2 linked regions of the Arabidopsis thaliana genome follow. The protein of the gene in region 2 interacts with the protein of the main gene of each other region in a pairwise test. Each region holds a gene or a part of one and is shown on either strand. Other genes may lie near its edges.

Region 1 (8,547 bases), on a different chromosome or scaffold from region 2:
CACAGAACTTAGAGGTCCAAATGATGTCATAAATCTCATGTTCTTACTTGGACTCTCTGCTGAAAGAGCTAGAGCTGCCATTTCAAAAAATTGTAGGTATGTATCAAATTCGTCTAGCAATTGTGTTATTTGATGCTGCTAAGCGTCATTGAGAATGGATTTTAAATTGCTTTCAGGAATATGATAGCCAAGGTTTTAAAGAAAAAACGGTTTCACAAAGAAGCTGTCAGGGTTGAATTACTTTCTGCTGGTGATACTTTTAGCCTCGAACAGCCTCTGTCTGAAGATTGCATGAAATGGGATCGCCTTTCGAGCGGTGAAGGTGACATGCTTTTGGATGATCTTGCAAAGGCTTTTGATGCCACAAATGTTGTGGCGCACAAATCCTCGAAGGCGATTGATTTCACCTCTGTTCTTGATGGCTTGCCAAAACATGGTTTCCGGGTTAAGGATATTGTAGGAACTGAATCAGTGACTCAGCCTTCTGCAGCTAAGGTGATTGACACTCAGGTGCACAGTAGTAATCAAGTTTCTGAACTACGTATGGCCACAGCTTCATCTGATGATAACCTTCGGGAAATTGAAACCATAAGCCAAATTGACATGCTGATGTCTGAAGATGACAATAAGGTGGAACCTACTACAAATGTCCTCAAAGAAGAAGCATTTGCCCTAAGGAAATGCAGTGCCAGCCATGGCCAGGGGATTTTGGTGCAAAATCAGACGGCTACTCCCTTTACACTGACAAGATGTACAAAGTCAGAAGCAGCGTCGGATGTTAGCATGAATATTGAGTCGACTTCCGAAGGTGGATCAATGTCACCGTCAAAAAGCGATCATGGGATCCCACAAAGTCCTGTTGAAGTGAATAACATGGGAAATGCTGCTTTTGAAGAAGAAGCCTCAGTGGACGAAAACAGCAAAGAAAGAGCTACTACTGGTCATGCTAGTAATGATGAGATGCATATCACTGAGTCTGGACACCACGCATCCATTGATGATGAGAAGCATATCCCTGAGCCTGAACACCTCACATCCATTGCTGATGAGATGAAAATTGATTGTTCTTCGGAAGCAAATCACGACGAGTACATGGAGGTCACAATGGAAGACCAGATGCATGAAACAGGTGACAGTAAGATTATTCTTCCTAACTTATCCTCTGAGACTACCGATTTGCTAAGTGAATCAGGTAAATCTCTCAGTCCAGATGCGGTTGTGCAAGACCATGACGAAGCATCAAGACTAGAGTCCGATGAGACAAAGCTCGAGGAAGAGGCATCAGTTCCAAACCACAACACCTTTGAGATAACAATGGAAGACAATAAGGTCGAAGAGTTAACAATTGAAGACGAGAAGGTTGAAAAGACTGAAACCGAAGCTAGTCACCAAGCCCAAGTCCAATCCTCTGAAAATAACAATGACACAAAATCAGGTACGAGATCTAAGTTTCCTCATTTGCAAATCTAACCTAACACATAAGTTTGGAGTATAGATTTCAGTCTAATGTTATATCAATCCATAATGTAGGTAAGACGCAAGCTAAGAGGAGTAGAGTTCGTTTACCGCAACTAAGGCCTTTCAAGCCTTTTCTACTTCAATCAAGGTTCAAAAGGATCAGTAAAAAAAGAAAACATTGAAGAGCTTGATCATTCTTATAAGTACAAGTTTTGTCCATTAATTTATACCCACGCAAGTCTCGTGGTTTCATTTTTGAACCGATTATAAAATGGGGGAAAGAAAGAATCTAATTTATTCTCTAGAGTTGATTCTTTGTGTACTCGTGTTCAAGAAAAAGGCTTTTAGTTAAAATATTAAAAAGGAAAAAAAAAAGTTAAAAAGATTTAAGAGTGGAGGAGTCGGTAAATCTACCGCCGGCCGACAAAAGTCGGGGACAATGTCGCCGGAGGGCCTACATCTCCCTCCATAGCCATTGCTAAAGAAGAAAGACTGCTCTCTTTCCTTTTTCAAAACTACTTTATTTATAATCTAATTGAGAAGCATTATTCTTCACATTATTACTAATTACCTACTTGTGAGAAAAATTATTCTCTTATTACTAAAGATGCCTAACATTCAAATTATTTTCACTTTTAAATAAAAATAAATGATTTTTGTTACTGTTGGAAAATAATATAGTCTTACAATCAAAGTAACATTTTTTCTTGCAAAATATCAAAAGTGCTGAGAAACTTTTCCATAGCTTTTTTTTTTGGCAAAAATAATTGCTAGTATGTTTTCCTCTAGCTTTTTTTATATACTGACTTATGAGAATGAATGTATGGGTTGATTACTTTAAGTTAGTTTATTTGAGTGGAAGCTTCTTTGATATCTTAAGAATTCTTAAGGTATATAATATATGTTTACCTTTGGAGATTGCTAGTACTTAGCACGATGTGTAATCAACGTGAGAGTATTATGAAATCATCAAAGTAACATGGCCATGTGTTCATTATATGTTTTTCAATGCTAAAAGTTATCATCTTTGTACTTTCTAAATACTTTTGTAAATCAAGTTGGTAAAAGAAAAATCAGACCATTAAGGAACATACTAAACTATACATTAACTATTTAAGGGTCCATATACATTAACGATGTGTAATCAATTTGTTTTAGTTGGAGTTCGATATTTTTAATTGTTTTATGTATATCGTTTGCAACTCACTTATGGACTACCGAATTTAAATGACGGATCTAATACGGCGACGACGTTTTATCTCAAATCCACTTTGTTCTCAATAGGTGAATATCGTTTTGTTTTGCCTTTAACCTATCTAAAACCCCATTTATCTCACTTATAGAACTCAGTGCCATGCTAAGACAATTGCAATCGTCAATTGACAAAGTGGCATATACCACTCATGCAGAATTGTATGGCCAGTGAAAAAGGATTAGTTTGCAAATATCTCAGATCAAAAATACAAGATATGTTATTCTTATATACAAAGATAACACAAAACCTACACATGAGTTTAGCAACATGGGGAAATCTTTTAAACCAAAACAAATTAAAGTGCCATATATAAACATATATAAGAAAAACAAACATAGAAGAGATTAAATTAGTTGAGGAAGTGATTAGCAGAGAAAGAATCAAGAAAAGATGCCCACGTGTCGACATCTCCTACCACGGCTTCCATAACATCAACTTGTTCTTGTTGTGAGATCTCATCATTTCTTGCAAATCTCCCTCTTATTCTTGGCCTACTGTCCGCTAATGTCTTCCTGCATTCGTACTAATAGAAAGATAAAAGATTATTATTAAACCTGTCCCAAAGTATTGTGATAGTTTTTAGATCATTCACAAGTCAAAACTTGTCGGTCAAAAAATTATAACGCGAGCAGAAATATCTCATTGAGATACGGTTTGAATATGTTAGTACATGAATACTCCAATCCGATCTTTAATTAGCAATGAAATATATTTGTGGACCTTCTTGTAAGAAAAAACTAATGGAGAAAAAAACTTGTAGCAACCTTGGAGCTTGATGTGTCTATCTCAAAGGATTCCTTAGACCCAAATATGATGTGACAGAACATTAATTCTCGTTCACATACTCATATATATCAGATGAAATTCTATTTATGTTTGAAGATAAGATTGAAAAGAAAAATTCAATGTTACTTTTTAGTGATAAGAGTGATTGATATGATACATTGAGCCTGTTTTTTTTTTTTTTTTTGGTCAACGAACCATTTAGTTTTGTATTAAATGTGAAAAAAAAACAGTATTACTAAGAAAAGATATCTTATACATTTGATTTTAAGAAAATAGACATTTATATATGCTCTTGTGTATGAAATTATACAGAAATCATTATTAGTTGATTAATGAAGAAATTTATAGGAAATTGTATGCTTGATTAGAAAATGGTTGCATCAATATATGTGAAGGTGCATGTCACTGTTCCATACAACTACTGTACATGTCAAGTCCTCAAAAGTTTTCCATGCGACACATATATACACATGTTGAATATATAATATAGGTTAGGTGTACATGGACTCTATGTGATGAAGAACAATATGAATCAAATGATAAATTCTTATATGTTAAAATAAGATATAAGAATTTATGCTAACAAACAGTTTAGAACAAAGAAACAACTGTAAAACATTTATAAAATTACCTTAATCCTCTTGTTGAAATTCCTAAGGTTTCGTTTGCTACGATATTTCTCGATCTTTTCTTTCTTCTCCTCAGGACTATACTTGTAGGCTTTGCTCATTCCTTCTATTATTGCATTGCTCTCACTCCACACCGTACTGCTCTCTCTTCTGCTACTCCTCTACACACATACCAAAACAGTGTCGTCTTATGTTATGATAGAATTATTATTATTTTCAAATAAAACCCCAAATTTTAGTATGTTTAGATAATTTATTTGTGTTTTGGTGTTTTCATTTTACACTCTTGCAAAACCATAAAACAAACCAACAATATAATGTTTCGTTTTATAAAATGTGAAAAATTTCATACGTAAACGAAAACATAAAAGTTAACGTTTGAAATCTCGAAACTGCAAGTGTGTATATAATATTACTTACGGGTAGATCTCCGGCGCTAAGGGCCCGTCTCACTGGCCCATCATCATCGTTAACGAAATCATGGGCCGCTGTGTAATTACCGGAAAAGCCATTATGGCTACTAACACTCCTCTGCATAACAAGACTCTCTCCGCCACTCCCCATAGAGCTTGGCGAGTCGCAGCTGCTGCTTCCACCACCACCGTTCATGCCGGAATCAAAGTAACCGAACCCTGAAACCGCCTCGGCCGCGTATAGAGAGTTTTGGCTCATCATAAGAAGCGCCAAAGGCGGAGGCGGGAACTGATGATGATGATGATCAAGCAGCTGAGGAGGAGCCACTATGTCGTCGGAGTATAGAAAACATGGACAGTTGTCGCCGGAGGTTATAGAAGTGCTGACGTGTCCACACATGGTGGGTTTTAGTTTATTGTGGTGTTTATGTGTCTTTGTGTGTTTGTTTATGTGTGTGTGTGTGAGTGAGTGAAACTCGAAGTGGTTTGGTTTCTATTTAACAGAGGAAGGACTGATGCTGACGTCATTAATCGTCATCTGAAGTCAACTGACTTAACCGTTGACTTCTTTTGACTGACTAGGAAAAAAGGAATCTTTAGGTATAAAAAGAGTTGCCTTTCGTTTTCAGGTCGCTTCTATCTCACTCTCACCCGTTATTCTTCAAACGACATATATTACACGAAATTGAATCCGACATGTATTATACGAAGGTGAATTTGGATAGTTGAACAAAAATGATAATTATTTTTTCATTTAGGTTTAAAAATGTTTTCATTAAAAATAGAACTACTACTAAAAACAAAAATTCAAATATACTTACTTATATATAGGTTACTGATTAATATGCTATCAATTATAAATACAGAGGAAGAAAGCTAGTGACAAATAATTACTAATTATAACCAAGTGTTGTTAATTCAATTAGTAAAAACCCTAGACGAAACTTAGAGATCGCCAGTTCGAATGACGTTTAGAACAAAAGTAATATTATATGCTGTAGTTTCGGGTACGGAGGGATTACGGGTTTCAGTCCAAAACCTCTTGGTATTCAAAAAAAAAAATACTAATTATATTGAATTTCAAAAAAATTGTTATTATATTGAATTTTATAATTAGTAAACTCTTTCTTTTTTTTCAATCTCTTTAACACATTTACGTTTCAAACTAAATGGCGTTATAACATTTTTTAATGTATTAAGAATTTCACAACGATAATTGTTGTAAAATGGAAGGCATAATCATTTCTTGAAACAGTAAATTTACTGATATTTTCGTAAGCAATTGTGTTTTAACTTCAAGTCCTTGACGAAAAAAAATATACAATTGTGTTTTAAAATAGTAGATAGATAACATCTCGTGCAACATTCATAAATCATAACAGCAAAAGAACAATGTAAAGAAAAATAAAATAAAATAAAGGACACGACTTAGCTTTTTAGCTCGAATTGTATAGGAGAGACAAAAAGATGGTTAAAAGCATTATTTCACGCAAACCCATGTGAGCAGCATACAAATCTACTTTTTTGCCTAATTAATCATTAACTTAATCAACAGTAATAATTAATTAAGCTCAGATACTTGATTGCTTTGGTTATGTTCACATTAAACGGGTGTTTAGTCCGGTCCGGATAATTAACCAGACAAGACACGATAGTACTGCTCTGTATATGAATTGTATATCTGTTCCAATCCATGATTAGTCAGGTTAATTAGCCAGAATTTTTTGTTTGGAATCAAATCGATTTAGGTAACATATCGAGAGAATATCTCAAACGAGTTATACATAGCTACCCCTACGGTAAAGTATATAAATATTGTTTTTTTTTATAGATATTTTGTTTACGATTAGTTACATTCCAAGAACGAAATTCGAATAGTAGGATCACTGCATATATACCAATATATTGTAGGAACACGTTGTAGTCAGTCACTAAATTGGCCTACTCATCATCATCATCATACATAATACATAATCACTCATTTAAGAACAAAACAACTTATAATTTCCTGTTTAAGCCTCACTCCATAATGAGGATACATAATATCAACCCAACTCGTGGTGTTTGTTTAGTAGAAAAATTAACCCACATATCACATTATTACTACTAGATGATATTGATTATATTTATCTAATTCAGTCCAATCCAAGTTTAAACTAAAATGATTATATATCTATATGTATCCAAAATATTTCATTTGGATGATGGTAACAAACCGAACCAAAAATGAAAAATCAAATTTGTTACATCTAAAACCTAAATTTGAACCAAAATTAACAAAAGTGCACTAACTTAGATAGTCTTCCTCCTGAAATGTGTATACAATCTTCCCTTGTATTAGGGGAAATGATTGTTCTTCTCCATTACATTCTATATATACAATATGGGTCCGTCGATAAATTTATTTGAAGAATTTTTTCTCGTCGATATCACTTCTCTAAGCCAAATATATAATTTTATTTTATTTATGGGGTACGAAAGCATCTTTTTCACTTAAGAGGATCGGAATGTAGGTCCATTAGAATCAACGAAATAAAAATTAGTTATATTTTTTTTCTTTGATTAACACAAACTTTCATTTTTTATGCGCCGGAAACTAGAGCATGTAAATTAGTCTCCTCTAAACAGGTCAATTAGTAGGAAGAGAGCTGTAAATCTCATTTTGAGAGAGTATTTTCAAACAACACTAAACCATCATCTATTGGGATTATCTATAGTTTTTTTTTATCGATTACTCTTCTTTTTATCGTCAACGTACAAACATTAATGTCGATTTGTGTTTGTTCCGTATCCACCACTCTTATTGTAATTTCTAAATATACTAGCTGTGTTTTGCAAACATTTTTTAGGGAACGTTGAAGACATTTCAAAACTTAAAACAAAGTTGCCCCACATAATGTAGAGACATAAATAATAATTCGCAATCGTTACGAGGACATAGGATCTCGATTCCAACAGTGGATAGATGTACTATGGGACTAATTAGAAAGACATTTTGTGTATCCTTAAGGGCAAAATAGCCACAAGTTGATGGGAAAGGTCATGCAAAAGCAAAATCTATAGATCAATCGATGGTAACGAAGACTTTTTCTATTTGGTGGTAAACTTTGTAGCATAATGTACCAAAAACAAAACGTTTCATGCTATGGTTGGTTCATAACTAGTTTCGAGTTTTAACGATCCAATAAGAATTGTTCTTTTTGTTTTTAATAAATAGTGTTTTTGTTTTTGCATTTCTTACCACCACTGGAGCAAATTATTGGTTTTATACTTTCGCAAGTCTCTCAGTAACCCACTTTGGTTATTTGCACACAACAATTATATACCTAGTTGTAGTTTCAAGAAGGTCAACGGTTCATGAAAACGATGATAGAATAGGGGAGATATATATTTTAGTATTTATTCCTATTACTAATGAAATTATATAAATAAATATAAGTAATACTATAAAATGAACTTAAAACTGAAATTAATATAATCGTGTGAAAACGTTACTACTACTACTACATTTGGTGAAAATATGAATTTGCATTTTGACTTTATAGCATGAATTCATACATAAACAACGTATAGTATGCATACAAAACTTTTTCATGGTATTATGCGAGATGTTTGATTTTACAATATATTAATGGCAATATGCAAATAATATAGTCCAAGCCTATAGAAAGCAATGATAATAGCATAAATGTAGGCAATGAGTACACAAAGAGTTTATGATCAAAAGAAATGAAATGTGTAGGGTTACTTGTTCTTGGTTGAAAGAAAAGTATGTTCCATACAAATCAAAGAAAGACGGTGTGATTTAGATGTTTTTAAGTGATCCCATCATTTTGTTTTATTGTTTTCTCTATTCTTTTTAAATTGTTAATTAGGACTCGTGCATGTGTTTCTATGCGTTTGTCCAATCTTCTGGACAAGAGAAAAAGGTCAACAAGCACAATAGTTTCTCCACCATTTTCACATATTCTCCATTCACGTAAATTAAACTTTCAAACTTTGGATA
Region 2 (9,053 bases):
CCCCAAATGAATTTATATCTTTCTTATGCACAGATCTAGATCATGCATTTGTGAACATGAAACACAATAATAGTTAATGATTGAGAAAGCTTACCATAGTTCTTGTGACTTGCGCTGCACAAAGACTCTGAAGTACCCGTCCTCAGGCTTACCATCATGTACAATGTTAGCGATTAGATTATACTTTGAACACACATTCTCCCCTTCTGGTGCTCTAGGCAATGATGGTATGTAATCCCTCAGCTCCATGTCCTTCACTGGGAAGTTAACTGTGGCATAGAAAAAGAAATTGTATCAAATTAACCAGGTATTAGGGGATCCTTATACAGCATTAACGTCACAAAAATTTCAAACAGACTCACCCAATGTAGGGTTCTTCTCTTTGAAGAAGTTATTCTTCTTGAACCGAACCATATGGAACATCAAGTAACGAGGAGATTTGATTACACGGTATCTCATTCTGGCCAGCTTAGGCCGAACCACCTCTGTCACCGTTTCTCCATCAAACTTCTTCAATAAATCGAATAGAGCAACCTGACCCAAAAATCAAAGAAATTAGATTCCACTAACCTCACTTTGCAAACTAAACACTCTAAGACGCATATACGAGGTAGCAAGCCATAAAGGCTACAGGAGCTCCAAACAACCAATGAGTCAGAGAATTCTACACTTTCGCAAGTCATGAACTAGATTCGAAAAAGAAAGTTTACTCCAGGACATTAAATTGGCAATGGCACTATTTAAGAATCCCTTAATTGTATCTCAACCAAATGTGACATTATTTATGTAGCTGTATATTGAGAATCATAAGTTTTCTAGCACTCCACGTTATCATTTTTCTGAAATGCATTTTTTTAATGGCACAAAGTAGCAAGACTTTCAAGATTTGAAATAGCCATATACCTGCGGAATAATGTTTTTCTCCATGACATCTTTGAAAAGAGGAGGCGGTGGCAAATCTAGCCCAAGCATCAGAAACGGCATCCTGGAGATTTCTTTGTTTTCATTGCCTTGATACTCTTTCACAACCTCCAACTCACCCTGTAATGGTTAACAGGTTACATGAGATACAGCTTTTTTGTAAGAAATTATATCAAACTGCATTATGTTGACATTTCAAAGGACGGACACATACCTGGAAGCACTTGTGGATGATACTGCTAGCGTCCTTTGAAGTTCTAAGATCCATGTGCAAAGTGTTGAGGAGCCACGACATAAACTCTACTGGATCTGATTGTTGGCCAATCCTAAAGCGTTTCTTGCTGGCTTTCATGACAGCTTGCAAGAACTCATGTGGACTCACCTGTTGATGCAAGGTAACTTAAATTAGCGAGGTCCTCAATAGGTGAGTGCATAACAAAAACTAAAAAAGTGAGAGGCATAAATTGAGTCAGACTTGTCCTTTAAAGTTTCGAGCATGCCAAATCTTGCGAGTTAGTTCCCCAAAACGGTGACCAAGAGGAGACTTGCAGTGCTGATAATTTTCAGGAATGAGGAAGAAATTCCTTAGAGGAGTAACTCTCATCAACGACTGGATTGTAACATTCACAAACTCTGTCTTTTGTATGTTGTTCAACCCCACCTACATATTTACAAGCTTAACCTTTAGGAGACATTAATTTCAAGATCAAGTGTAATCAAAGAGAAAGGATTACCATTCCTGGAAGATAGTCGGAGCCATCAAGAGCCCTAGACCACTGCCTATTCTTGTCAAGCTCGTTTACTTGTGCTCTACTAAACCTGTAAATGGATAGCACCGAAGCCTTCATACAAAGGAACTGAAAAATCAAAGAAAAATTGACAAAACATGAAAGAAGAGTAATATGTTCAAGCTATCATGCAAAAAAATATAAATAGATGGTAGATGATACAGAGAACTAGTAAGAAGAAACTGATTGAGATAATAGTCAAAGCAATTTTGTTGTTGTTAACTACGTGCAAAGGCTCACATGTTCACAAATCAATACCCAAAATGCAGTAAGAACTATGATGTAGTTAGTCACAAGATCTAATATACCTTGGGTTTAAAACATGGCGAATGTCATCCAAAGAAGGGTCATTGATCTCGTAACTATCAGGAAGACAATAAACCTTCTCTGTCAGAAGATTGATGTAAACGTGGTGTCCTGCTTCCAAGCTATGTGTATAAGCATGAGACTTCTGGCTTCTTCCTTGAAAGTACTTCCCACAAACAAGACACGCATACACATTCAGATTTGACAATGAGACAGAGCAAAACCTCTCGAAATCAAAATCCAACACCTGAAATCAACCATAAGATATGAGTTTAAACGCTAATCTCAAACCAGCAATATAATGAACCTAGCAGAAGCTTAAAGATCCACCATAGATTAGATACATTACAAGTACCAAACACAAGAAATTGGTCAATGATATACCTGACGATTAACAGTATCAAGATAAGGACAATCACGACGAACTTCAACATGGCGTGAATGCTTTCCTCTCCCCTTCGAAGCATCATCATCATCATCTTCGTCGTCATCGACCTCTACTTGAGCTTCTCCTTTCACTTTGTTACCATTTCCCTCTCCTTTCGCAACTACATTACAACGAGTTTGCGATTTATTCTGCTGGTTATTATCATCATCGTAAGCATTAGCAAACGGCAAAAGAGGATTGTTGAAACCTAGTGGTGGAGGTGGCGAATCAGACCGTTCCATCACTCTCTTCCTCTTCACCTCTCTCTCTTCCTCAGAAACACCATTCTTCACTTCTCTTTCACCTTTCATTCTCAAAATTTTCCCTAAGCTAAAGCTTGCTTCAAAAACCTTAGAACACAAAATCCCAGCGATTCACGAAGAATCCTCAACCAAAGAAGCAATGAACTCTTCCAAAAAACGCCAAATACTTCAAATCAGAAGCGTCGACAGTCGCGAATCTACTCGAACTTATCTCTCGTTCCCAATTTTCTCGAGAAACTTCAAAATCCGCCACAACGCAGACGTTAAACAAACAACCTATTAAAGCTTCAAGAGCCGACTCAAGTCTCACCCAGATTGATTAACTCGGTTAAAAGGCCGAATATTTATTATTGGGCCACACTGTTATAGCCCAATAACAATCTGTTCCATTTATATTACTTCTGTCAGCAGTATTCAGTAATTGATCTGTATTCACGATCCGATACTTATCGAATAACCATTAATACCCTCAAGCTTCTCGAAGCAAACTATAAACGCGTGAAAATCTACAAGGACGTATTCGACATTCCACGAGTAAAGAGATGAGTTCTGAAGTTAAAGCCAGCTGGCGAAGAAGTAAAAAAGCAAATAGATTAGCCAAAATACGACAACACCCTCTACCTACAAGCCATAGATACCATGACTCATAAGGGCAACACCGACATTTGTCATCATTTGATAAATCTAACCAACCCTGAAGGGCATATTCGTCTTTCCAAATAGTTATAAAGAGACAGAGACGAAGAAGGAGAGAGAGAAAGAGACAAGATTAGAGAAGAGGATAAGAGAGAGAAAGATATAGAGAATTTGTTGTCTTTTTTTCTTTTTCTTTTGTGGGGTATTTGTTTTTTTTTTTCTCCTTAAAAAGTTTTTTTTTTTGTGTGTATGAAAAAAAAAGCTTTGAAATTCTCTCTCGACAATGGTGTCGGACCAGGATCTAGCGAAAGGAGTCGAGACTTTGCTTCGACAATCCGACCCTAGCTCTCTCACATCGTTAAGCAGTATTGTTCAGCAGCTTGAAGCTAAGTTAGGGTTAGACCTCACGGAGAAGACGACTTTCATCAGAGATCAGATCAATATCCTCCTCCGTGCTCACCAAAACCCTTCTGCCTCCGTCGCCTCCGCTTCATCCGTACAACAATCTCACCCTCCTCCTCCGCCGTCTTCTCACCAGCAGCAGAATTTGCATTCCGGCGTCAATGTTCCTCCGATGGCGAAAGGGCATTTCACACTTAGCCATCCTTCGCAATTCTCTGTTTCTTCTCAATCACAACAATATCCTTCACATTTCGCTCTTCAGCCTCCTTATCACTCTTATGACCTAAATTTCCGGCAGCCTTATCCGGTTTACATGCCGCCGCAACAGCACCAGCATCAGCAGCAGTCTCCGCGACAACAACAATCCTCTGTGATGCTCTCACATGGCGGGAATGCTTCTCTATCTGTTAATCAAGCCCCAAAAGAAAGGTAGGGTTTGCAACATATTTCAAATGTTGGTACGTAATTTTGCTCAAGGTTGTTCCAATTTCAGTAATTTAGGGCTTTTGCTACTTTCATGGAAAACATGATTTTCCATTTTAGGAATGTCTAAATCTTTTGTCAATTTTGTTCATTTACGGGTTTTTAGGTTTTACATGCTCATGTTTAGAATTATCATCCTGTGATATTTTTAGCACATTGATTCATACAACGTTCTATTATAGTGTGATTATTTCTTTCTGATCTACCTAAATTTGGCACATCAACGAAATTTGTCAACTTTTCCTTTGCAGTGCTCCGGCTGGAACTAAAAGAAAGGGTGGTCCTGGAGGACTAAACAAAGTCTGTAGGGTTTCTCCAGAACTTGAAGTAGTTGTTGGTGAACCTGCTCTTCCTAGAACTGAGGTTATCATTGTCTTTCATTTATGATTATAATGTGTATAAGCAATTGTGGTTGTTATTTATGTGTTGCTGTGTTTGGCTTTTGGTTTTAGATTGTGAGGCAATTGTGGGCTTATATAAGGAAGAATAACCTTCAAGACCCGAGTAACAAGCGGAAGATCATCTGTGATGATGCGTTGCGTGTGGTTTTTGAGACTGATTGCACTGACATGTTCAAGATGAATAAGTTGCTTGCTAAGCATATTCTCCCGCTTGATCCATCAAGTAATGGTTAAACACAAGCGTTTTTTGCTGAGTTCCAACTGTGCTTGGTTTGTTCAAGGTTACTGACTGTTTGAGTCACTTTTGGCAGAGGACTCTGGTCAAGCAAAAAAGGCAAAAACTGAGGTGGAGACTAAGACTGAGACCACCGAGCCTATTAGTTCAACTGCTATTAGTTCAACTGTTACATTATCTGAGCCACTTGGTAAGTTCTTTGGCACTGGTGAGACGGAGATGGCAGACGAAGAGATTATTCGCCGTGTTTGGGAATACATAAAACTCAACAATTTAGAGGTAATGATTTTAATCTTGAAATCCTCTGGTTTCTCCTTATTGCTTCGAATTTTTTTCCTGTTTGCTGCTAACTAAAGCTGGTATTGTGGTTTACTCTATAAGATAATTTACAGTATAGGATTTCACATAACTTTATGTTATAGAGCATAGTGAATGGCCATAAACAAGAAAATTAAGATTTGTTTATTCTGCTTTTCAATTTTCTTTCAGGACCCAGTAAATCCAATGGCTATTCAGTGTGATGAAAAGCTCCGAGATCTTCTTGGATGTGAAAGCATTTCAGCTGTGGGGATAAATGAGATGCTGAGGCGCCATATGTACAAGCAGTCGTGATATCTTCTGGTCTGACTTAATTAACTAGGAACTACTAGTGTAAGTGAAGTTTGATTTAACAGATTATGATACTTATATATCAGCATTGTCCAAATATGGTAATTGACTTCTGTATCACAACTCTCTTGCAGGTGTGTATCTAGGGAACCTACTTATGACTCCTTGCTGTAGAACTCTGATAGGGAAGAAAAGATCCTTTTCACTTTTAACTTCCTTTAATGCTATTTTAATCTTCCGTTGGGTTCTTTGTTTTAGTTGGTTGTGTATCGACATGCTTAGGTTGATGTTGTATTTAGTATTGTACCGAAACTCTAGTGTTAAGGGTGAAACGGCGCAGATGTTTTGTATTAAACGCCATTCACCCATGAATGTCTTAGGAAAAAAAAACTCATGTGTTTAACTATGTTTTCCCTGTTGGAAATATTTGCATCCTACTGATAGAAAAATCTTATTCCCTATGCTATGGTTTTTTTTCCTGCTATCTTCCATGTTATTTGCTGTGTTTTTATCAGAATCTCAGACGTGTGACGTAGAAAGCGGCTGCAGCAAGCAGCAGAAGAACAAGTAGCAGGAGTGCCATTGCTTGTCTCCTTGTGTTTTCTGCTTGTCTCAAGAAAGTGACTATCTTCTCAGCAATACTCACTGCAAACGCCATAGTTCTCTGCATCAGAAGACAAATGAGAAACCACAATAGGTAAGTAAGTGAATCACATGATGACATAAATCTTATGAACATGACAGACTCACTAGTCTTAGGTGCTCTATGTGGAAAATTGGTTCCATGAACATCTCCACATTCCTGCATTGTTTGGTTTAAATATGGTCATGATTCACGGGTTATAATTGTTATGATAACTGAATTTAGAGTGGAACGAATACTGACTTTATCAATAGCTTTCCCTGGTACATATGGCAAATGTGGAAACTGAATCCCTTCCCCAATTGGATGTGTGACTTGTCACATTCTGCACATTACAGGTAAACCGTCATGAGAACAATCATTTCAATTGGATTTGTCAATTTTTATTTGGTCTTGATCCTGGTCTGGTGAAAGGAAGGCTTATTCCGGTTTGGTATTCTGGAGTGTTTGAAGGTTTTGACTTTCCGGTTTCCTTGACTGACCCAAATAGGATCGGTTGCGTATAAGGTTATCAGTTATTCGGATTAGGATATAGGGACTAGGGGACTAACCGAGTTGCCATTGAACTCCAACGGTCATGCCATCTTTGAACGTTGGTTTAACAATAATCTTGATATCCTTTCCCAGCTTCATGATCAACCAGTAGAAGAAAGCCATAACTTGCTGCATGTATAAAACCATATTTACCCTTATAACATAAGGATTTCAAAAATAAAGATTTGTGAAAGAAAAGTTATTGTTACCATTACAACATATGCTAACCTTCTTCCCTTGCAAGAGTCGATACTTAGATAAAAAGTTGGAAAAGAATTGGCATTCATCTCCAATAACTTCTGAAATTCCTTCGATGTTTCGGTCCTTGATATCGGAATATAGTTTTAGAACTGTCTCCTCCGCCCGATAGTCTTTCTCCATGATGTTTCGGTCCTTGATATCAGTGTATAGTTTTAGAATTGTCTCCTTCGCTCGATAGTCTTCCTTCTTATCGTCATTCTCTTCATCTTCGCTCTCTTCCTGATCTGATTTCTCTTCATCTATGCTCTCTTCCCAATCTGATTCCGATTTTCTTACCCTTGTGTAATGCTTCAAAGTGCTTCGATGTGAGTGTGATAGATCCAGATGAAAACTCGTATTGGTAGAACCCTTTCGAATTGACACGCGAGAATTCTTCGTGTAAATTGAGCATGAGCTAAAGCTATTTATCCCTGAACATAGTTTAGATGAAAACATTGTTTGCGTAATTGACATATATGAGGATGCCATTGCTTGTAAAATGGAGGATGGTTTTGCTGACTACATAAGATTGCAATACTTTATAAAAAGCTTTGTGAAGAACATAGATTTTCATTTGTATAAGTGAAGTCTGGAACAAACGAATAAAAGAATGTGTTTGTTTGTGGACAAAGCAAAGCGATGAAAAATGTAGCAAGTGTTGGAAGATAAGAATAATTTTCGATTTTTTCGTAATGGGACTTAAGGATAGATCGTTAGTGTAATAAATAGACAGTTAAAGAACCATGACGGCTCTTTACCTGTTATGTCTCAATACAAACCAAGCAGTGCTTGGCAAGCACCAAAATAAAAATCTAAGAAACTCAATTGTACAAATGAGCGATGATGATCCACATACTAAGCATTAACACCAGTCACAATACATTCTTCAAATAGGTAAATCACACAAACTAACTTCAGTCAGAGCCATTCCACATTGCAGAGACTCTTCATACTGAGCAGAAATCCTTAGATCAGGAGCTTCTCAATTGCATCCTTGAGATGCTGAATCTGCGATTTCAACTGGCTTGCCTCATTCGATGTCACTGAACAAGCAATAACAGGTCTTGTTACTCCACATGCTCTTCCCAATGCTTGTTTCGAAGGTACAAACACATATGGCACATTCTGCATTTAGATGGAGAGTACAAAAAAGCGTTAGTTCAAAATCAGACCACGTAATAATTGCTTGTATAGTAATGAAGCTTGTTCAAATAGGATAAACTATAGCTATGATGAATCATGTCTTCCTCAAGAGTGAACTCAAAGCTACAATTTTTAAACATAAACTAGGAGAAACTATAGCTATGATGAATCATGTCTTCCTCAAGAGTAAATTTGAAGCATACACCAATAATTACATAGATACAATGATTCAATTGAAGACCAAAACAGAGTAAACAGAGAAAGTTTCCTGAAAGAACTCAACAGAGAAAAGTATGTTCAACACAAAATTGCATAAAGCTAAGAATGGCTTCTTAAGCTTCTAACAACCACCAAAATCTGAGAAACACTAACCTAACGATACACAGCCTCAAAAATTGCAACCTAATAGCTCTCTATTCTACACGAGTTGAATTAAAATTGCAACCAAATCATCGAGAGAGAGAAAGAGATGGTAACCTTATCTTCGGCAAGCAAAGGAAGATGAAGAAGAATCTCAAGTGGTTCAGCATCAGCAGCCATAACAACGAACTCAGAGATTCCACGGTTCAATGTTTTGGTAGCTTCATTAGCTCCCTTCTTAAGCTGCTTGTAGTTAGTAGCTTGTTGAACAAGATCCATTATTGTTATCGAAAGCTGAGAATCTGCTAACGGATACGCCTTAGGGTTCACTACCTCTCCCGTCATCTTCTTCGTTCTCAATAAGCTCACAGAAAGAAATTAGGGTTTTTGAAGGATTTGAGAATGTTTACAAATCTGTCCTTAACCCAAAAAAAGAAGAAGGTATATATATAGAAACATGACTCGGGTCGGGTTTTCGGGTTTCGCTTCGGATTGGTGAATCTGGGACCAAACCGACCTTTGATGTCGGTTATTTCTGTCTTATTTCAATTATTTCGGTTTAGTTCGGTTTATGTTTGTCCAATTTGGACTATTTGACATCTCTTTTAAATAAACGATGTTGTGTTTAGGTTTAGCTATAGACGATTTACGTTCATAACATT

The links. Proteins that work in one complex are often made in the same cells at the same time.
Region 1: the proteins of AT4G22360 (region 2) and AT5G59990 interact in a two-hybrid assay, tested with the Arabidopsis thaliana proteins (one large-scale study listed by BioGRID).

What each region holds. Positions count from the first base shown.
Region 1 is NC_003076.8:24,148,144-24,156,690, forward strand, and holds AT5G59990 (CCT motif family protein), read right to left. Parts: upstream 5,059-8,547; 5' UTR 4,942-5,058; coding exon 4,549-4,941; intron 4,290-4,548; coding exon 4,131-4,289; coding exon of another isoform or gene 4,119-4,130; exon of another isoform or gene 3,708-4,118; intron 3,237-3,707; coding exon 3,063-3,236; 3' UTR 2,791-3,062; downstream 1-2,790. Other genes in the region: GAF1 (Polymerase/histidinol phosphatase-like protein), read left to right, coding at 1-96, 177-1,435, 1,531-1,640.
Region 2 is NC_003075.7:11,804,187-11,813,239, forward strand, and holds AT4G22360 (SWIB complex BAF60b domain-containing protein), read left to right. Parts: upstream 1-3,070; 5' UTR 3,071-3,624; coding exon 3,625-4,172; intron 4,173-4,477; coding exon 4,478-4,589; intron 4,590-4,678; coding exon 4,679-4,850; intron 4,851-4,938; coding exon 4,939-5,141; intron 5,142-5,351; coding exon 5,352-5,474; 3' UTR 5,475-5,513; intron 5,514-5,605; 3' UTR 5,606-5,931; downstream 5,932-9,053. Other genes in the region: AT4G22350 (Ubiquitin C-terminal hydrolases superfamily protein), read right to left, coding at 95-269, 363-534, 904-1,041, 1,136-1,303, 1,397-1,582, 1,656-1,740, 2,018-2,262, 2,400-2,753; AT4G22370 (uncharacterized protein), read right to left, coding at 5,983-6,135, 6,222-6,273, 6,358-6,439, 6,666-6,777, 6,877-7,377; AT4G22380 (Ribosomal protein L7Ae/L30e/S12e/Gadd45 family protein), read right to left, coding at 7,855-8,013, 8,509-8,736.